Caenorhabditis elegans: one gene and its partners. The protein of the gene in region 4 purifies or fractionates together with the protein of the main gene of each other region. This does not show direct contact. Each region holds a gene or a part of one and is shown on either strand. Other genes may lie near its edges.

Region 1 (7,548 bases), on a different chromosome or scaffold from region 4:
AACTCTTCTTGGTTTTGACCCAGTCAAAGTTTCGTTCCAAGTTTTACAAACTTCTCGGGATGCCCAACCATCCCTATCTCATACGGTCAATCGACCTCCCCCTCTCTCTTTGCCTCTCATCCTGCGTTCCTTTTTAATCTATGCTCCCTCTCCCTCCCACTACCTACTATCTATATACCTGTGTCCCGCGCGCGCACAGTTTCACATTCTCAATTTTTCTAACCACCTGCGTGTCTGCATATCCGCCACTGTCTCGCCGCACCAACACTGTCACAGTTGAGTTGAGTTTGAGTCGTCTTCCGACACCCAGTCAGTTTCGGTTCGACTTTGGCGGGCGGCGGGCGGCAATACCTATTTCTCTCTGCTACTGCCGTATAGTTTGCTTGCACTGCTCTCTCTCTCTCTCTCTCTCACCGCTTCTCTTTCTCCCTCTTCCACTCATTCCCGAGTCTCTTCCTTTTATTCCCGCTCGTCTTTTATGGAAAAGAAAGGTTGGAGTATATACAAAAGGTGTCCTGGCGTCTGTATTTCTGTCTCTCGTTCCGATCTTTTTTCATCCCCCCTCCTTCACTACTCTTGTGTGTGCGCGTACAGACGGGCCGTGGGCCGGTAGGGGGCCACTTGTTGAAAATACTGTTTTTGTCGGACGGAAAAGAAGGACACGATTGTGTAAGAGAGAGAGTGAGGTTTTTTTTGTCTCTGTTTGTATAAAATGCGGTCAAAAATTGAAGAGTATAATTATCAATTATTGATCGGATTATCTTAATTTAAAATTCTTCTAAAATTCTTGCCCACTCAATTTTAGATAGCGCTCAGCACTAGACATCATATGCCCTTCTATGGTTTTTGTTTCAGAAACTATTTTCAATCCATGTAGCTTCTTGAAATCACTGTATTTCCTTGTAACTTTATTATTTATCACAGGGCTTGTCAACTTTGCCATTTTTCCTGAACTTGTTTGTACGAAGTAGGTGTAGGAAATCTTAAATTCGGCGGTCAAATTGATCAAACTTCATTGTATTCAAAGCGCTTAAAAAGAGTCATTCTTCATTTAAAATTAGAATAACAAACCTGTTGGAGTTTTTAGCATTGAATTTGTATTCGAATGTTATTGTTTTTACAGTTTTTTATACCAGGATTTTCTATATTCCAGGTTTTTCTATACAAATGACAAATCTTTTGAAAAAATAAGATTCAACAATTTTTAATCTAGAATGTTTCCTATTCTCTTCAAAGACACTGTTTTCCTTGTTACTCATTGCTTTCGGTTAGTCAGTATAAACACACATTTTCAGTCAAAATAAATTTTTCGGAAAAATGAAAAACTACAAATATTTACCCGCATTCCTGAAAAGCTCAAAACGTTTTATTTGCAATTTTTTGCTGTTTTATCCAGTTTCTAATATCTAGAAATGTGATCTCTCAATACTTATGCATTTTCCACTTGAATTACCCTTTTGACCTGCTTTCCCAAAACAACTCTCAAATTTTCAATGTATTTCATTTTATGACCGGCATTTTTTAATTCACATAAAATATGCATGAAACGGAGCTCTGAACCTATTTTGTACTTTAAGTGTTTTTTTTAAAGTACATGATTGAATCAGATAGCATTCATTTAGTTTCAAAAGCAACAAAAAAAATATTATTTACCGTCAAAGTTTATCATGCATTTTTACCACTGAATCACTTTCTCTTGCTTTCCCTCCTACACTTCTCCCGTTTTAGTGTAGCCATTTTTTTCCATTTTTTTCTTCTCGCATCTTACATATTTGTATGTGAACAAACCGTCATGTGTTCGCGCTTTTTTTTACTGCACTTTCTCTATCCGTCAACATTGATAATCACAACATATGTTCAACCCCGATTTTTCCAGAGGTCGCGTTGTATAAAAGGAGGTGTGACTGCATTCGCCGTCGCTTCACCTTTCTTTTTAGCCACCATGGCGTTTTTGAATAAAGTCAAAAACTTGTTTCGTGCCAATCAAGCGGAGAAGAAGTTACCTAGTTACATTTATGTGAGTTCACAAGTTTTTTTCAAATGAAAACCAAGATTCCAATAATTCAGGACAATGTGAACCCACGCGATCACTGGAACATTATTGGAGAGCTTGGCGATGGAGCATTTGGAAAAGTTGAAAAAGCAGTGTCACGGACGGATCCCAAACTTTTTGCCGCATCAAAGTCTATTGAAATTCAAGAAGGCGAAGAACTGGAAGATTTCCTTGTTGAAATCGAAATTCTCAGCGAATGCAAGGGTCATCCTGTTATGTTAGGACTCTATTCTACTTATTTTTTTGAAAATAAACTGACGGTGAGTTTCTGAATAAGGTTTTGGTCCAAACATGTGTAAAGTTTTAAGTTTGAAATTAGAATGAAAGAGCATTTCCTTGTGTAGTACTATTTTCATATCCCATTTAGTGTACTCTCATCGATTCTTAGAATTTTTGCGCGCTGGAACTTTTCCAGAAAATATAAAGCAACTAATATTAATATCACAAAATAGTGAGGGTTATACTGATTATCCCTAACCTTTTAATTGTTCATCGTTTCCAGATGCTTCTCGAGTTTTGTGGAGGTGGTGCTGTTGACAACATCATTGTCGAGCTGGGACATGTACTCAAGGAAGATCAAATCCGATACATCGGATACTACGTGTGTGATGCACTCAAGTGGCTACACTCCCAGAATGTGATTCACCGTGATCTGAAAGCTGGCAACATTTTGCTCACCCAAGACGGTCAGGTTCGACTTGCCGATTTTGGAGTTTCGGCGAAGTTGAAGAGTGAACGTGAAAAGAGAGACACATTTATTGGCACACCGTATTGGTAAGTAACATGTATATTAAAATCACGGTTTAAAACTGAAAAAATTATTCTTTCCAGGATGGCTCCGGAAGTTATGGCTTGCGAGACTTTCAAGGATCAGCCATACGATTGTATTTCGGATATCTGGTCTTTTGGAATCACACTCATTGAAATGGCCCAAGGAGAGCCCCCGCATTCAGACGTTTCTGTTATGAGAGTTATTATCAAAGTGCAGAAATCAGAGCCGCCAACGCTTCTCCAACCATCTCACTGGACCCGGTCCTTCAGTGACATTCTCACACGATGCCTTGTCAAGGATCCCAGAAATCGTCCACCGGCAGCTGAAATCTTCAAACATCAGTGGTTCCAAAATGCTCCATCAAAACGAAAAATGATTATGGATCTACTCGCCGAAATGTACGCAGATGTTCAAGAAGAAGTTGTCATTGATGGTGATGAGGAATCAGTGGCAGGATCCGATGAGATTTCTCAACGTCGTGGTGATAGCTGGAGTTCGGCTTCTGATAGCCCTCGACCGGCTACTAGTGATGGGTTCAAAGTTCCCATTGTATCGGTACCCATCATTGAGACACCTCCACCAGATACTCCTCACAAAAAGAGAGCTGCTCCGCCACCACCACAAGAAGTCAATGCTCATCGGCAGTCGCCAGTAGTGAATGGGAAACCAGCAGAGAATTCGAGTTTTGCAGAGGTTTGTCGTTATACATTTGTAGATTGTGTTACTAGCACAGAGAAACTGAATTCATGCTCTGGCATGTAATTTCCTACAATAATCTTTAAAACTTTCAGTTCTCCTTCTCTAACAGCAACACATCATCAGAAGGAACTGCCGAGTTCTCCACACCATCTACCAACAAGAGTAGTGCGCAACTCTCCACGCCAGCAGTTCTTAGCCTCAATACCAGCGGCAGTCCTTCATCTGCCAACGAGTTTGTCAGTCCACGCAGAGAAGCGCTCAGTATTCTCGATGAGCTTACCACCACATTGGACGACGAGCAAGGATCAACATTTTTCAACTCACCACGTTCAAGTGCGTCGCCCCGTCAATCTCCACGTCGATCACCACACGAATCTCCGCGCCATTCTCCACGCAATTCCCCACAAAAGGAGCAATTGTTTGAGCATTCGATTCGTGACACGATAATGGCTAGCCGTAGCAGACCATCGCTAAGTCCACAGTTGAGACGTAAGAATTTGAATAGGACTTTGATTATTAATTGCATAACAAAACAACTCTACCAACTAAACTATTTCAGAACTCTCACCTTCGGAGTCAGCATCTTCTTTCGACGAAAGTGTTAATTTATCCTTCCACAAGTTGGAGCCCGCGGAGCATGCTGGATACGTGATGGCACATCAGCAAATGGAAAAGACTACAGCTCAGTTGAACGAACGTGCAAATGCTGTGAGCAATATTAGAACTCAAATGGAAGAGAAAATTGCTGACAGCTCTAATTCGAAGCAACGACCAATCAGTCAACCAATCACGGAAATTCCAGAAGGTTTGTATTGAAATATGTATAAGCAAAAAAACATACTGCACTCATGTTTAATTATTATCGTTTCGAGACCCATACCCCTTCAAATCTCAATTTTAAATCATTTCAGGAATTGTTGCCCAGAAAAAAGTCAGCAGAGAGGAAGCGGAGGCGGTTCAACACTCAAATGCACTCTTTAAGAAACCATCTCAAGATATGTCAGCCAGTTTGACAGTACGGGACATGGCTCAACAAAAGACGGAACTTAGAGTGTCATCAGCCTCAACTCCAACAAAAACTAGAGCTTCTCCTCCAAAACGCGCCGAATCAAATCAATCTGTGAGGACGAGTGGTTCATCAAACTCTGTTGTTCAACACTCTGCATCATCATCGACAGATTATGTCCCAACATCAGTGTCCGCCGTGCCAGAATACTTTGATGGACCAAGACGCAATGGCGAGCAGAAAGTCCCACCACCCGAGCCGCCAGTAGACTATGAAGGAAATGCTAAAGAGAATGCAGCTCCTTCGCCTGTGCCAGTTCCTAAAATCTCCCAAAAACCTGTACCAACTCCGTCAACATCTACAGATGTTCAGAAGACAAACTCAAACGTTGCTCCGAGACCGCTTGGCGGGAGAAAAGATGGAAATCGGCAGACAATTACTAAAAAGACTAGGACGTATATGATTGATGGTGTTCAAGTCACATCTACCACAGTTCATGTGTTGGGTGTTAAGGATGATAAAGTACAAAGGTATACCTTCTATTAAATTTTACTTAAATGCTGAAAATTTAATGTGTGAGCAAAATGCGAAAATGACAATTCAATTTTAAAAAAGTTGAAAACCAAATCCCGCCACTAACGTTCTGATAGTTTCAGAAAGCAACAACTCCACGATCTGAGACGCCTTCAACGTGACGAAGCCCGTCAAAAGCAAGAACTCCAGGCCGAGGGAATCAAGCTTGTCGAAGAGCAAGCCAGAAAGTTCACATCGGAGCAAACAAACTTGACACGAACATCGGAACTAGAGATGGATGCTATGGAACGCCGTCAACGAAAAGAGATTGAAGACACTGAAGGTGCCCAGGAGCATGAACTACGAAATGCGCAAAAGCGTCTCCGAATCGAACAGGAGAAGGATATGCGAGCGTTCAAAGAGCGTCTGAAGCAAGAAATGAAGATATTTAAGCAAGAGTTGACGATGCTCTCAAAGGTTCAGAGAAAAGATGCGTTGAAGCAACGGAAGGAGCAAATTGAGATTGAGCATCAACTCAAGGAGAAGGACTTTTTGATGCAACTTCAACAGAATGCGGAGGCAATGCTTCAACGAATGGCTGAAAAGCATAAGGAAAGAATGGCATCTATTGAAAAGCAGTTCCTGATGCAGAAGCACAATTTGCTCCGAGCAAAAGAAAATAACATTTGGGAGTTGGAAGATAAGCAAATGAGAGAGAAGTGGGTTTTTCTGTAAATTAGTTTTTCATTAAGCTTTAAATTTTCAGATTTGTACTTCATCGAAAACTATTCAAGGATGAATACTACCTTCTCCGCACACAAATGCTTGCTAGACACCAACGTGAAATGGCTCAAATCGAGAAGATTCATCAAGAAGAGGAAGACGATCTCATCAGAGCACTAACACTCGATCGTAAAAAGCTACCGAAAATGTTGCGCTCTGAGACGAAAACTCGTAGTGTGATGTTCAAAGAGAGCCTGCGAATCAGTGCAGTGGTAAGTACATTTTTTAAAGAACAATATGATTCTATTGAATAAGTATGATTTCAAGAACATGTCAAACGCGGAAATGCAAGAACGAATTCGACGATTCGATGAGCAAGAAGCGTTGCGCATGAGAGCTGCATTGGAAGATCACGATTTGAAGTCGCAGAAGAAGTTGCAAATATTAAAGGAGCGCCACCAGGAAGCGGTATGTCTTTGATTAAAGGAAGGTCAACTAGAATAAGTAAATATTTACAGATCATCGAGCTTGATGAGATGCAGAACGAGAAGCGCAAGCAGTTGCTGGAAAAAGAAAGGAACACGATGAAGGAGCACGAGGCAAAGTATCACGAGATGCGTGAGCTGTGGCAGGAGAATTTGATTGCAAGGAAAACGGTAGGATTTGGCTACTTTTCTGAAAAAGTGTTCGGAGTTTGTAAACGTGCAGAGTTTTAAAAATTTTTTAAAAAGAACCTTACTCGATTACGAGGCATTTTTAAAGACAGCTTAAATTTTAAACATTTTTTTTTGTAACTTGCTGTTGCAATTCCCGAAAACATGTGAATTTTTAAATAATTTCAATTGTATGAAATGCATAATTTATTTTTAATCTATTTGTTTTTACAGGTGCTCGAGGAGAAGTTTGAGGACGAACTCTCAAAGCAGGAAGTGTTCTACGGAATGTCGTACACTTCGTCTCAGGCCTCAACGCTGTCTGGCCGTCACATGCCTTGAACGCTCTATGCTTCTGACTCATTTCTACGTTCCTTTGCTTTATTCCATTTGTCATTCCCATTCAGTTTTTGTCTCCCATCCCAACCAGTGCCTTACCACATTCGACACCTGCCTCGAGTCTCCATTCTTCTCATCCCCGTGGTTTTACTATATACAATCCAACTTTTCTACTTTTTTTTGTTGATCCGAAATGGGTATATTGCTAGTTTATGTGTCTAGATGGGTCATTTTTTAATCAAGTGTCTTAAAATTGTATGCCTTCCCCCCCCCCCCCCCCAAATCCTCACTTCCCAAACATTTCTCTTGTCCCTACGGTTTATTTGAAGATGGCGCCATTCCAATTTGGTTCCTCTTTGTTTTCTCTCACAATTAATCAAAACCCTAGCCCCCCCCCCCTGTTTTGTTACAAATTCTCTCTCCAAAATGCTAATAATTGCGATTTTTGGATCTCCACTCAGTTTTTGTAAATGACTGCTCTCGTTTCTTTTTAATGTAAAACTAGGTTGGGAGGGTTTATTTTAAGGCATGACAACCTTAATAATCTTAACCATACCTGTATGTTAATTAATAATTAGCAAAATCTTCCAACTAGACATTGTTATGTTTTCCTTCCTTACAACAACTTTTTTTCTCATTTCTTTTCCTAATTTATAAAATCTCCTAGATTAGGAGTGTTTCATAGCCACTCTTTTTTTCATACGTTTTATCCCGATTCAACCATCTTACTGTTTTGTTATAAAACATGTTATAAATTTTTTTTTTTTTTTAGCGTTTTAAATTTTTTGAA
Region 2 (3,671 bases), on a different chromosome or scaffold from region 4:
ATGGCAAATAAAAAGTCGATTATTGCATTCCTGTATTGTGTAAGAACTAATACTCTTTATTCAAAATAAATTGTTTTAATCAAAGGAGAAATACGATATAAATATCATTTACAAATGTAACTTCGCATTCTTCCTCCAATTCATGAGGTGGCAAACTAGACTCAAATTAAATTAGTAGATCTTAAATAATTTATGAGCCACTATTTTTAGAGCCAGCTTGATCCGCGTTTTAGGCAAGTCATAAAACGATAAATGATCCCGTCTGCAGTATGAAAAATTCATGCTGGAAAGTATTGTATAAGACAAAGGAAATAAATAAAAAGTCGCTGAAACGGGGGAAAAAATTCAACTCTTATATTTTTGTGTTCTCTAGAACACTGCTCATGTATCACGAGATGAAAATTTGGAATGCTTTTCAATACATTTATGTATTGTTCTAATTGTGAGTTGTACCGTTTCACCCGGGAATGCAAATTGACATCACTTTTTGCTAACTTATTTTTTAACATATATTCATTTTTGGTCTGTACACAAAATTATACATGTTTCAAAAATTGTTTATTCGCAGAACAAGAATAATGTAAATGAATAATCCAGTAACTTGTTCTCCATCCATAGACCTATCCGGAAATATCAGCACTGAAACAAAAAAAAAATACTATGGAAATAACTTGAAAGTCCACATAATAACAGTGTGTAGTTTACTTTTTATAGATTCCTAAATCTAGCTAATATCTATATCTAGCTAATTCTAAATCAAGCTAATCCCCAACAACTCACTGCAAAGTGTAGACAAACCTCAAGGTTTGTAACACAATTTTACAATTTTTTTTGTTTTTTTCTTCAAGACAAAACAGTTTGCATATGTACAACTACTGTTTTCAACTGAATAAAACGCTAAGTTTACTTCAATCTTTTGAAATTCTCAGTAACAATCATAATTTTTAAATAGGCCCCCACTTACCACGCCAACTTTAAAACTTCAGATTTTTTCCCATCCATCGAACCATCTGCACCAATTAAACCAGCAGGAGGTGCAGCAAATCCAATTGGATATTTCGTGATCATCCATTTATCGCCATCACAAATGATTCCCAAAAGGTCAGTTATACTCTCACCATCGGTTCCCGTCAATTTTGAGGTGATTTGCTATAAATTGTTTCATACTTTTCCGATGAAAGATATTATCCTTTCACTCACAAATGATTGGGTTTCCGGCACTTCAGATGGCCGTGGTACTTCACTTTTATCAAAAGAAGAGAGTGCAAGAAACACTTGGTTATCGGGACAAGTTAACACTTCGCAGCCGTCTTTCTCAACGTGCTCCACGGGTGTGAGAGAGAAAACGATAATGGAGAGAGAAAATCGAAAATGGATAATGGACTTACTTTCAAACAACGATTCCAAATCTCCACACGGCGAAGTTTTGATGTCCAGGCATTCCTAAATACTTGATTTTTTTTAAAACTGATTTTTTAACAGATTTCCGAATGACAATTCTTTAAGAAAATTGGAATATTGGAAGCGCTTCCATAGCAGTTTAAATTCAGAAAAAAATCACATACATCAGGAGCCATGGTGACAGGAATATAGGCTTCATCCGGTGGAACTGTTCGCATGCAACTTTCTGTTATTACCATCAAGCATAACAGAAGGGAACATGACGTTACAGTATTCATAATAAAACGAGAAGTAGGGAGGAAAACTTTGATATAATGATTTTAACTACTAATCCATTCCTATTCCTATGCGTAAAGCATTAAAAGAAGTAATAAAAGCCCGAATAACACCTCGATAAAGCGGTCTTGGGTTTGGAAAAGGAATAAATTATGTCATAAAGACGGATGGGCTAATGAATACGAATCGACTTTCGAGAAGGGAATGGCGAAAGTAAAAAGAGCAAATTAGTCAATTTAGTCGAACTATGCATTCGTCAAAACTAGGCGTACATATTTGAAAATACTTATTAAGAAGTTAGTTCTAAAATAACATTTTTATGAAATCATTAAACTCACAGTTGATGGTGTGTTGGCAATACATTTGGCTTCCACGTGGCCAAACAAACACAGAGTCATAAACATGAAAAAGTACATTTTGAAGTACATCGCCCTTGTTCTTCTGGGATATTGGCAGAATTTTTATAGAAAGTGATTATCATTCCACAGTGGCCGGAAATTAGCATCCATTTTGCATCCATTTGCAGGTACATTATATGATAATTACACTGGTCTCTTAGAATTCTAACTGATAAGAGTTTAGAAAATTAAACCAGATAGTTCAGATATTTCAAGAAGTATATCAGTAGAAATAAGACATTATCCAGATAAAAACTTTGAACCGCCATAACGTTTTCGAGAAAGTCAGCCAAAAACCGTTCTTGACACGTCTAAATTAGATCCCTTTCAAGCTATTTCTTGCCCAAACTTGTCTGGTTTGTGTGATATTTTTATTATACATCCTCCTCAACTTCTTACGTCTTGAGTATCATTTCTCGGTCATATTCAACCCTTGGGGTGTCGATTATTGTATTCCGCGAATGTGTAAAAATCAATGCTATTTTTTTTTAAATCAAATCGTTTTATTCAAATGAGAAATACGATGTATCAATTGTTAATTCAATCCTCATCCAATTTACACTTGATCAGTGCTGAAACAATAAATACAACAAAAATGAGATAAGAGTTGTGAAACTAACTTAAAGACTTTCCAGTTTTAAACAAAAATTTTATTCTAATTGTTTTCGCGGTTAAAAAAAACCTTATTCTCACATCTAACTTGAAATTTTCCTAGAAACTTTAAAATTTATGACCCACCAATAGATCGTAGTCACTTTAGACTTCTTTCCGTTATACGATGCATCTGGGCCAGTATATGCCATGTTTCCATCTTTGACATACGCTATTCCATCAGGATAATTTGTGTATATTAATTCACCGCCTTCACACATTGCTCCAAAATATTCAAAAATCATGTCTCCGTTGATGTCGGCCATTGAATCTTTATTTATACTTCCCTAAAATAATTTTAAGCATTCAGATTGAAAAAGAGTTTACCTACAAACGTCATATAATCGGCATCAGCATCAATAGGCGCTGGTATTTCACTTTTATCATAAAGAGAAGAGACAGCTGGAGTTTTGCCTGCGGGACATTTTAATACAGTGCAGCCATCTTGGTCAACAGTTTGTACTTCGTCTAAAGTTGTAAAAATATCAAAACATTGAAAAAGTTAGTGATGATGCTCTAATTTAAAGGTGGAGTAGAGTTAAAAATTTTTTTTTGCTTTAAATGACAGAAAATGGACCCTAATAACCGAATATAACTGTAAAAAAATTTTAAAAAATTTTCTAAATTTTTTATGATTTTTTCAATTTTGAGAAAATCACAAATGAATGACGTCATTTTGGATATTGTCGCGTTTTCTGGCTAAATTCGTCGATTTTTCTCGATTTTTTCTCTATATTTGATTTGAAACATTGTTTGTCAATTATTTAAAATAGTTATTTCGAAAAAAAATTAATAACAAATATTAAATTGCGGATTTTAGGCCAATTTTGACATTTCTGACATTTTCCATAGGGTTTTCAAGTTTTTTTTTTACGGAAAAGTGGTTACATAATTGACAAACAATGTTTCAAATCAAATATAGAAGAAAAAATCGAGAAAAATCGA
Region 3 (2,334 bases), 9.3 Mb from region 4:
GAGCTAAAGGAGAGCTCTGGTCTCGTGGCTACTCGACTATGCTCGGCTACTGGGCCGACCACGACAAGACCAACTTGGCAATTACACGTGATCGCTGGTACAAATCTGGAGATACCGCCACGATGAACGAGGATGGAACTATCAATATTGTCGGTAGAACTCGTGACATGATTGTGAAGGGTGGTGAGAACGTCTATCCGACCGAAATCGAGCAGTTCTTGCATAAGTTGGACTATGTCGCTGATGCTCATGTAAGTTTGGGAGCTTCTATCTTTGCTCTTGGGGGTCCAATCAAAAAGTTTATTAAAATATCAAAAAGTTTATTAAAATAATCTACAGAAAATTCTCTACATTTACTCAGTTGGCAACTTTTTGATACTTGTAACAACTGGCGAGTTATTCTCGTTTAAATCAAGGGCACCATGACTACTTATGGCCTGAACTTCAAACTTATGGCCTAACTTTTCAACAAAAAAATTCCAGGTCGTCGGTGTGCCAGATGACAGGTACGGAGAGAACATCTGCGCCTGGGTGCGTCTTCGCGTTGAGGATGAAGGAAAGATCACCGCGGAGCACATTAAGAAGGCTTGTAAGAGAGGAGTAAGTTATTAATCCATTATTTTAAAATATACAGTCGAAATTTCCAGATGGCTCACTACAAGGTTCCAAAGTACGTGCTCATCAAAAAGGAGTCCGAATTCCCTCTCACAATTTCCGGAAAAGTCAAGAAATTCGAAATCCAAAAGATTTCCAAAGAGCTGTTGGGTCTCGGAACTGTCAAGTCTCACTTCACAGAAGCTGTCGACAATTAAAATCGGGTTGAACATATTTCCTATATTTTAAGTTGCCTTTTCGCTGGGATTTCCTTGCTTTTTACGGTCTAACCGCTATAATTGTAATAGTGACATATTTAACCGGGTTTTTATGTACTCTTCCGTGTATTTGCCATGTATTTAATTGTGAGACTTGTACAGAAATTGCGATTTTCTCTGAATAAATAGCTTTAAAATTCAAAATTCCCTCCAAAAGTGTACAACGACACTCCGAAATGACGCATAGTCGCCTTGCTTACCGTAAATCGACACACATTTTTTTAAAATCGAAAACATTTTTTTGTTGGATTTTCTTCGTTTTCCCTCGATTTTCTTGGAATTTTGTGAGTTTTTATTGTTAAAATATTTTAAAATTGCATTAATGGTATTGTTTTAACTGTATTTTTCATATGATTTTCGATTATTCCAGCAAAATTCTTGTAGAAACGACTTTTCATCAAAATTTTCTAAAATCGATTGGAAATTAACACGAATTTTACTGAAAATGAAATTTATGTGCAAATTACCGGTGAATTCAGCGAGAAAACATCAAAAATTCTGGAAAAATAGGCTTTGAAAAAATTTTTGTGAGGAAAAATTTTAAAAAAACTTGATAAATATCATCTTTTCCCCTCATTTTTCCTGTTTTTCAGCAATTCCTCTCAAATTTTACCCGATTTTCTTTCCAGAAACCATGGCAACCTCAACATCCACCAACCCAAACACACTTCTCCCACTGGAGCTCATTGACAAGTGCATCGGCTCGAAAATCTGGGTGATAATGAAGAACGACAAGGAGATCGTCGGCACTCTGACAGGCTTCGATGACTACGTGAACATGGTTCTGGAGGACGTCGTCGAATACGAGAACACCGCCGACGGCAAGCGAATGACCAAGTTGGACACGATTCTTCTCAACGGAAATCACATCACGATGCTCGTGCCGGGAGGAGAAGGACCAGAGATTTAATTGATATCTGTGAATATTGTGATTTTCTAATACTTTCTATTTTGCCACGAATCTCTCCGATTTTGAAATAAAAATTGAAGGAAATTTTGGAAAATTTTATAACAGGAACAAAACAGAATGAAGAAGCAAAAAGAAAACAATTTTTTTTAAATCTGTTTTTTCAGCATTTTTCTCTTTTTTTTCTTATCACTTAACAAGTACTTGTACATCTTGCAGGTCTTGTAGGATCATATTCAGCACGTGTTGAGAATAGATAGCAGCTTTCTGATGCTCTAAAAAGGCTTAATTGTTCAGATCGTCCCTGGAAATAATTTTTCGAATTCTGCTCGAGCTGAAAATACAAAAATAATCGCAGAATCGCCCAAAATACGTGAAAAAGTGAAAATACTTATCGTGTTTGATAGCAACCTTAATTTGTCCTGTTAAATGACAAAATTCTTAAGTTGAACTGTATTTATTTTAAGTTTTCTGCCAATTTTTTCCAAAAAATCAAAAAAGTTTCCCGATAGTACTGTATTTCCCAGAATACGTAAATGCGTATAATGTATCATA
Region 4 (6,274 bases):
CTTACCACGTCATAGTTATTATGGTGGGTATTTAACGGTCGCGACGGTCACCTGACAATCAGGAAACCAGGAAAAGAAGCTGATAAGCAAAGATTGCAGTTGCAGCTCCAAACAAGACGCCAACTTTCTCTTTTTTATTAGGTGAGAAAGAGCAATTAGATAACATTGGGGGGTAATAGAGAAAGTTAAAAGAACACAGATGAAAGCTTGGAAAACGTTACAGAATAATGGGAAAGGTTGTAATAAATAGTAAATGAACGGTCGCGTAGGCGAGAAGTGAGACGAAAATGTGACAGAATAATGGACAAAGCTGGAAAGAACTAAAAACAGGAACCTGTTTTGTGGACACCAAAAATGTTATTATTATAAAATTTTTAATAGTGCTCACAATCAGAATCTTCTTATTGAAACTAATTAAACGTTCGGCCTAACAAACTTCTTACCATCTCCATTGTGTGGAAGATTTGCGAAAAAATAAACGTTAGCTTTGTACCTGAAATATTTTATGTGACTTTTGGTATATGAATCCCGATGAACAGTTTATTGAGTGAATTATTATAATGAAAGACAATCTTTTTTGAAAACCGCATCAAGTTAAATCTTATCTCCTTGAACCTCTTTTCTTTTCTTTTTCAATGAAAGCGCTATAATGTTCGGCCCATATTCTTTGCTGCCTCCACAGCCAAATTGCAACACTTTCTCTCTGGTGCACGGTGAACACACTTCCGTCGAACCTCGTGATTGGTGCCAGCTTGTCTTTATTGAATGATCTGGTTACCACTGCGAAGATCTTTACATGAAGATGATCATGAAGATTCACACTTTCTTTATCAGCATTATCATCCGAATAGCCGTCCGAAACGAGGCAGAGCACCTGTAATTAGGCTTTTTGTTCAAGCTTGAAGACTTGAGAATAGGAGAGAGAATCTTTTAAAAATCTCAATATTTTGATCGACTAAATGATCTTTTTTCTAAAATCTTTATTCAAAAAAATTAAACCATACATGTAGTTTTATTGACATTTTGGCATTAGTTGTTTGAACACTTTCAAAATTTACTATCTACAAAATTACGAAATCACAAAAGATTGATGGCTATTTTAATTGAACTTTTTTTCTTGTTTCAAAATAAAAGCAATACAACGGACACAATACAAATTTACCTGAAGTCTGTCATGTTTGGGAGTTGGTAAGTACTGATGCTTTTTCGTGGTCTTCTTCAAGTTCTGCTCATGATACATTATTCCACCCGCAAAAGCCAACGCCTTCGATAGCATTGTTGCTCCTCCGGTATAGGAAAGTCTCATCACGCCTCGACGAACACTTTCATACGAATAGTATTGATCGAAGCCGAATACGACACTCGGATCTTGAGAATATTGAATCATTGCTATTCTAGATCTTCCGGGAGCAATATCAACATCTTTCAGTATTTCACAAATGAAGTTCTTTTGCTGAAAATTTGAACTGCAAACCTGATTTTAAAGTACTTAAACCTACAATATCAAAGTTGTTTATCCCTATACTGCTTGAAGTATCCACTAAGAACATCAAGTCAATTGGAAGAAGCTTTCTTGCTGGATGGTCTCTTGGTAAGTGTGTTCTTCGATTCAACTCTTCCAAATCATCTTCAGTCGTTTCAGTGACATCACTGCCCGAACTTTCAATACTTTCTGGTGTTCCAGAAGAAGTTGCATCATCTTTCCCATCACTTCCATTATGCACAGGACTTGGAATAGGAGTCACCTGAATCTCTACATCTCTCGGAGTTCTTGGTGACGCAATACCGGAGTCTCTTCTGTGCTCTTTTCCTCGTCCTCCTGAAATGTATATGAGAATTTGTAAAAGAAACACTCAAAAGCTTTCCTTTCCTGTATGCTCCGAATGATCGTGGAAATGTGGATTTTGATTGAATGGCGGTAAAATTTGAATTTTGGATCCTTGCTGGTAGGCCATATCTAGCTGACGATCGAACTGAGCTTGCATCATATCCTGTTGCTTCTTCATCTCCTCCGCGTGCTTTTCTCCATATGTTATCTGTTTCTGCATCTCGGTATGAAGTTGAGAAGTGAAATATTCGTTTTGTTTCCGAAGTTGCCTCTCCGACTCTGTTACTCGGTGACGCAAGCGGCGATCTGAAGTTTTGTGGTACAAACAAAAAATGTTTGCATTATGTGAAATTTTAGAAAAAATTAAGAAAACTAACTCTCTTCGTGGTAGCTGTAAATTGCGTAGGCCAATAGAGCTGTCAGGATAATAGCAAAAAATAAAATAGAAGCAATAATAATCCAACAGAGTGGACCGAATCGAGTAGATGAAGAGCCTGAAAAACAGATAATACGTTGAATAAACGTAGGCATGCAAATTATCTTCCACCTGTTCCAAGGCGACCTTCGCCTCTCTCGAGCCTACGTCTGTGCCTACTGCCAAAAAACTTATAATCAATTCCTCGTTTTTGGGTAAATTCTTAACACCTGAGCCCACAATAAATTGCAGAAAACAGACTGTAGGTAGGCCTGTAGGAAGTCAGATATGTGCCAAGCGTTTATTCTCGAAATTGTCAGTCTACAGACTGGAATTATTTTAGTAAATTCTCAAATATATTCCTTCTAGTTATTATAAATATTTAATACATTTTCTGAATGAGAACCACCCAGCGTTATCTAAACTTACATGGAACTGTCCAGAACACTGTCTGTTCGGCGTTTTGACGATGACAACTAGTGGAGTTCCAATTCAAAAAGTTCCACCACGAAACATCAGCAATTATTTTACTCATCCATAAAACTTTCAGTTAGATTTAAAAGAAAAAATACAAATCGTATATGTCGGGTGGTCAAAAAGGAATGCCTTCCGTCTCACTATTGCGACTTTGGACACCCATGACAACGCGATGGGCTCTTTGGAAAAAGAGAAACAGGCTCGTAGAAAAAGATGACACCAAACACTAAAAAATAGGAAAGCGAGGAGATGTCTAGATTTGGAAAATGTTACGAAATGAAAAGAGATAATAGATTTTTATCATACTATTCCACGATCAGATTTTATTTTTCGATTGATATTGAGCTTCAACTAGGAATATAAGGTGAGGAATGGTAATTTCCTAATAGTCAGTCTAGAAAAACACATGAACTTCAGATTTTAATAAAGTTACCATTATTAGCAGAAATGATATATCTTTTTGGGGCACGACACAGCATAAACATGTTTATTTCAAATAACTGACCTTTAATATAAGCATTCACACTCTGGCACAATGGAGCAACCAAATGAGGAAGATGTTCAAAATCTGTGACTTTGATTCCAACTGTGTGCGCCGATGGTTCAAATCGAGAAACATGCATATTTGAGCCGATAACCACGTAAAAAACATGGAGTGGTGACGTAGGCGAGATGAGTGGCTCGTTTGGAAGCTGGAAAATCAGGAATGAGTTTTGAGGAACGGTCTAACTGCTAGAATTCTCATAAATTTCCAAAGTATCATAAATCGAGTGCTTAGTAGGCACTGCCTACATGCAGGCGAAATTCGCCTAGAAGGCGACCTACCACATCGTGACTCGTAACTTCATTTGCGATAGCTTCCTTAACGGCAAACTAAACGTAGCTGTTCTGATTATAATAGGCATTTGGCGCAACTTTTTGTTTAAAGCAATTTGGCCAAAAAATATTATCTTACAATTAGTTCAGAAGTTTGCAACACTTGGCCAAGTCTTGCCAACTTCTGAGCCAAGTTAGTATTTTTGGAAAACAGTTGCTCCAAGTTCCAAGTAGGAAAAATATGTAAAACTACAAAATAATGAGTAAGTCGTTAGCCGATTTTTTTAATTTCATAGTCCGGGACAACGCTAACACTTACCACTTCTATCAATGGCTGATAACTGTTAGAAATGACCAGAATCACGTCTGGAACTGATTTCCTATTTGCTGTATTCATTGTAGATCTTGTTAATGCATTTATACTCGTAGTTGGACAAGTTTCTAATTCACATGGACAATATGGTGCTTCTTGAACTTTTGATTCTGGGTATGTCGAGTTAGCAAGACTCCACTCAATTCTAGACCAAGGTGTAAACTGAGCCATTGCGACTTTCGAAGATCCCATTTTCATAGTGGACATTACCTGTAAAAAGTTATAGATCATAATTCTATTTAATTAAATTTGGAACCAACCTGTCTCAAAAAGTCAATCTCCGCGCGATGCTGGAAGGATGTTATTTGTGGTGTTGAATCTAAAATGAAGAGAGCATCTACTTCAGGCCAAATGCATCCTATCACTAAATTCACTTCCAGTAATATAACAATACAGTACAGTAATAATCTATGAGGCATCTTATGTCGTTTTTGTGAGTGGGGATATAACAAAAAAGCAACTAAAAATTGTTGCTCTCTCGTTTTTTTTCTTTCTTTTTTCTCGTTTTTTTGCTTTGTTGTCCTGTTGCTAAGAGGTGTGGTGTGATGCCGATGAATCTTTTTTTGGATGTCTCCAAAGTTGTATAGTTGCTTTAGAGCCCTCATAAATAAATGAGCAATTTGTGTTGTCTCGGAACAATTTTGGTATTACTGGTTCGAATGACTGACGGAGAAAATGGAAGAAAGTTCTAGAAAAAAATTCTAAACTCGCACTATCTCAATTACAGTCTCCATGGTATGATCACTCCAAAATATCAAGTTGTGTTGCTCTCAATATTGGCTACGAAATATGTTTTCGATTACGACTTTGATTACCTATTTTTATTGCACCTTCATAGATTCAATATTCATTTTTTACTGCTCTCTGATAGAGAAACAATTTTTTTCAAAGGTGAATTGATTTTGGAAACCAAACGGACAGTATGAGTCCTAAATAACCTAAAGAGATAGAAAGAAACAACGGTCTAATTGTAAATGCAAATCCTGTTTATGTTACTCAATCCTCTTTGTGTCATTCTCTATTTCTCTTCAACACGTTTCAAATGTCCACTCACGAGTATGCACATACAGATCGAGAACATCTGTCCACGCAATATTTATCACTTCCCCCTCCTTCTCATCGTTTTCTTCCTTCTTCCTGACAATTTCATCCGTCCGGCAAACCACTTCACCGCGTCTCCCGACCGGTGCCTTGTGACCAGTTCTTCTTTCTACGAGCAACTGCTCATTGCTGGAGTTTTGGAAGAGAGAGAGAGATGCTCTCACTGTCTCTTCCTCTTTCTGCACAATTTGCGCACTTATGTAAGTACTATAGTTTGCTTAGTGATTATTGACATTAGTGGTGACTCCAGTCAAAACGACCAAGGACTTCCTGAATATGATTTTTGCGGCACGCGTGTTATCTCTTTTGTCTTTGGCATAAGCTTGTCGGCTCTCTCAGAAATAGATTCATTCAAATGTTTCTTAAATTACCTTTGATAGTCTCAAGTTATTCTATTTTATAGGAAATTGTTATCTCCGTATACCATTTAATATTTATTTTGCACTTGAACGTATAAATATTGCAACAGTTTCGGTTCAGAAACTTTTTGGCATAAAATTTGAAAATTTTCCTCTCAGCGATTGATTACTCAAAAATATTATTGATTAATGAAATTATTATTGAAAAATTATTAATGAAAAAATTAACTCGAAAAAATATACTCAATTGAACCAATAAAATAAACTGCTTATTATAGTTTTGAGAAATTGATATTTTGATATTCTTGAAGCAAAACGATTAATTGATTCTATCAATTTTACGAATGCGTCGCAAACCTGAAAAGCATAGAATTTTTTTAATGATGAAAGGACCAGCTCTACATACTTATTGTGGCACCATAAATCGTATTTCCCTATTAGACATGTACCCTTGTTCTACTCTGACAGCCTACATCTCTGGTTTCTACGTGCTCACCAAAAATTCTCAATTGACAAAACACGTGAAAAATGTTTCTCTACGTTTTTTGCAGTATAACGTTTTTTGATAAATTTTAAGACACCTCATATATAATCCGTTAAAGTAGAGCAAGTCTATTAGAGAAAACACGATATTTTAGAAAATGAGATGTTGGCATTTTTCAGAGGTCCAGCAGGAAGACCTTTTTCATTATCATCAGAATATTGGCATAAGCAATTTTTGCCGTTTAGTGAAATGGAATTAAACCCAATCCCAAATCGCTTTTTTAGCATTTCAATATTTTGACAGAAAAAACGCAACGCCTCACCATTCGACCTAGAATGGCAAGTAAATTATTTTTAATTAGTTTAATGTCACATATGTTCTCCAACTGGTGCCTCTTATCAAAATTCGTGTGACACCGCTC

Evidence for each region.
Region 1: the proteins of F31F7.2 (region 4) and gck-4 fractionate together in Caenorhabditis elegans (co-fractionation; one large-scale study listed by BioGRID). This does not show direct contact.
Region 2: the proteins of F31F7.2 (region 4) and F16G10.2 fractionate together in Caenorhabditis elegans (co-fractionation; one large-scale study listed by BioGRID). This does not show direct contact.
Region 3: the proteins of F31F7.2 (region 4) and lsm-5 fractionate together in Caenorhabditis elegans (co-fractionation; one large-scale study listed by BioGRID). This does not show direct contact.

What each region holds. Positions count from the first base shown.
Region 1 is NC_003284.9:13,675,318-13,682,865, forward strand, and holds gck-4 (Protein kinase domain-containing protein), read left to right. Parts: upstream 1-1,942; coding exon 1,943-2,017; intron 2,018-2,067; coding exon 2,068-2,313; intron 2,314-2,555; coding exon 2,556-2,827; intron 2,828-2,884; coding exon 2,885-3,518; intron 3,519-3,616; coding exon 3,617-4,013; intron 4,014-4,083; coding exon 4,084-4,329; intron 4,330-4,435; coding exon 4,436-5,060; intron 5,061-5,186; coding exon 5,187-5,762; intron 5,763-5,809; coding exon 5,810-6,038; intron 6,039-6,081; coding exon 6,082-6,234; intron 6,235-6,284; coding exon 6,285-6,422; intron 6,423-6,653; coding exon 6,654-6,761; 3' UTR 6,762-7,023; downstream 7,024-7,548.
Region 2 is NC_003280.10:2,373,281-2,376,951, reverse strand, and holds F16G10.2 (DUF281 domain-containing protein), read right to left. Parts: upstream 1,680-3,671; coding exon 1,566-1,679; intron 1,444-1,565; coding exon 1,201-1,443; intron 1,150-1,200; coding exon 965-1,149; intron 640-964; coding exon 621-639; 3' UTR 541-620; downstream 1-540. Other genes in the region: F16G10.3 (Lipoprotein), read right to left, coding at 2,632-2,647, 2,814-3,013, 3,058-3,194.
Region 3 is NC_003283.11:15,568,874-15,571,207, forward strand, and holds lsm-5 (U6 snRNA-associated Sm-like protein LSm5), read left to right. Parts: upstream 1-1,506; coding exon 1,507-1,782; downstream 1,783-2,334. Other genes in the region: acs-2 (Medium-chain acyl-CoA ligase ACSF2, mitochondrial), read left to right, coding at 1-251, 484-600, 648-812.
Region 4 is NC_003283.11:6,269,175-6,275,448, reverse strand, and holds F31F7.2 (VWFA domain-containing protein), read right to left. Parts: upstream 4,598-6,274; 5' UTR 4,515-4,597; coding exon 4,170-4,514; intron 4,120-4,169; coding exon 3,856-4,119; intron 3,413-3,855; coding exon 3,226-3,412; intron 2,779-3,225; coding exon of another isoform or gene 2,673-2,778; intron 2,323-2,672; coding exon 2,206-2,322; intron 2,135-2,205; coding exon 1,862-2,134; intron 1,820-1,861; coding exon 1,500-1,819; intron 1,454-1,499; coding exon 1,163-1,453; intron 875-1,162; coding exon 602-874; 3' UTR 538-601; downstream 1-537.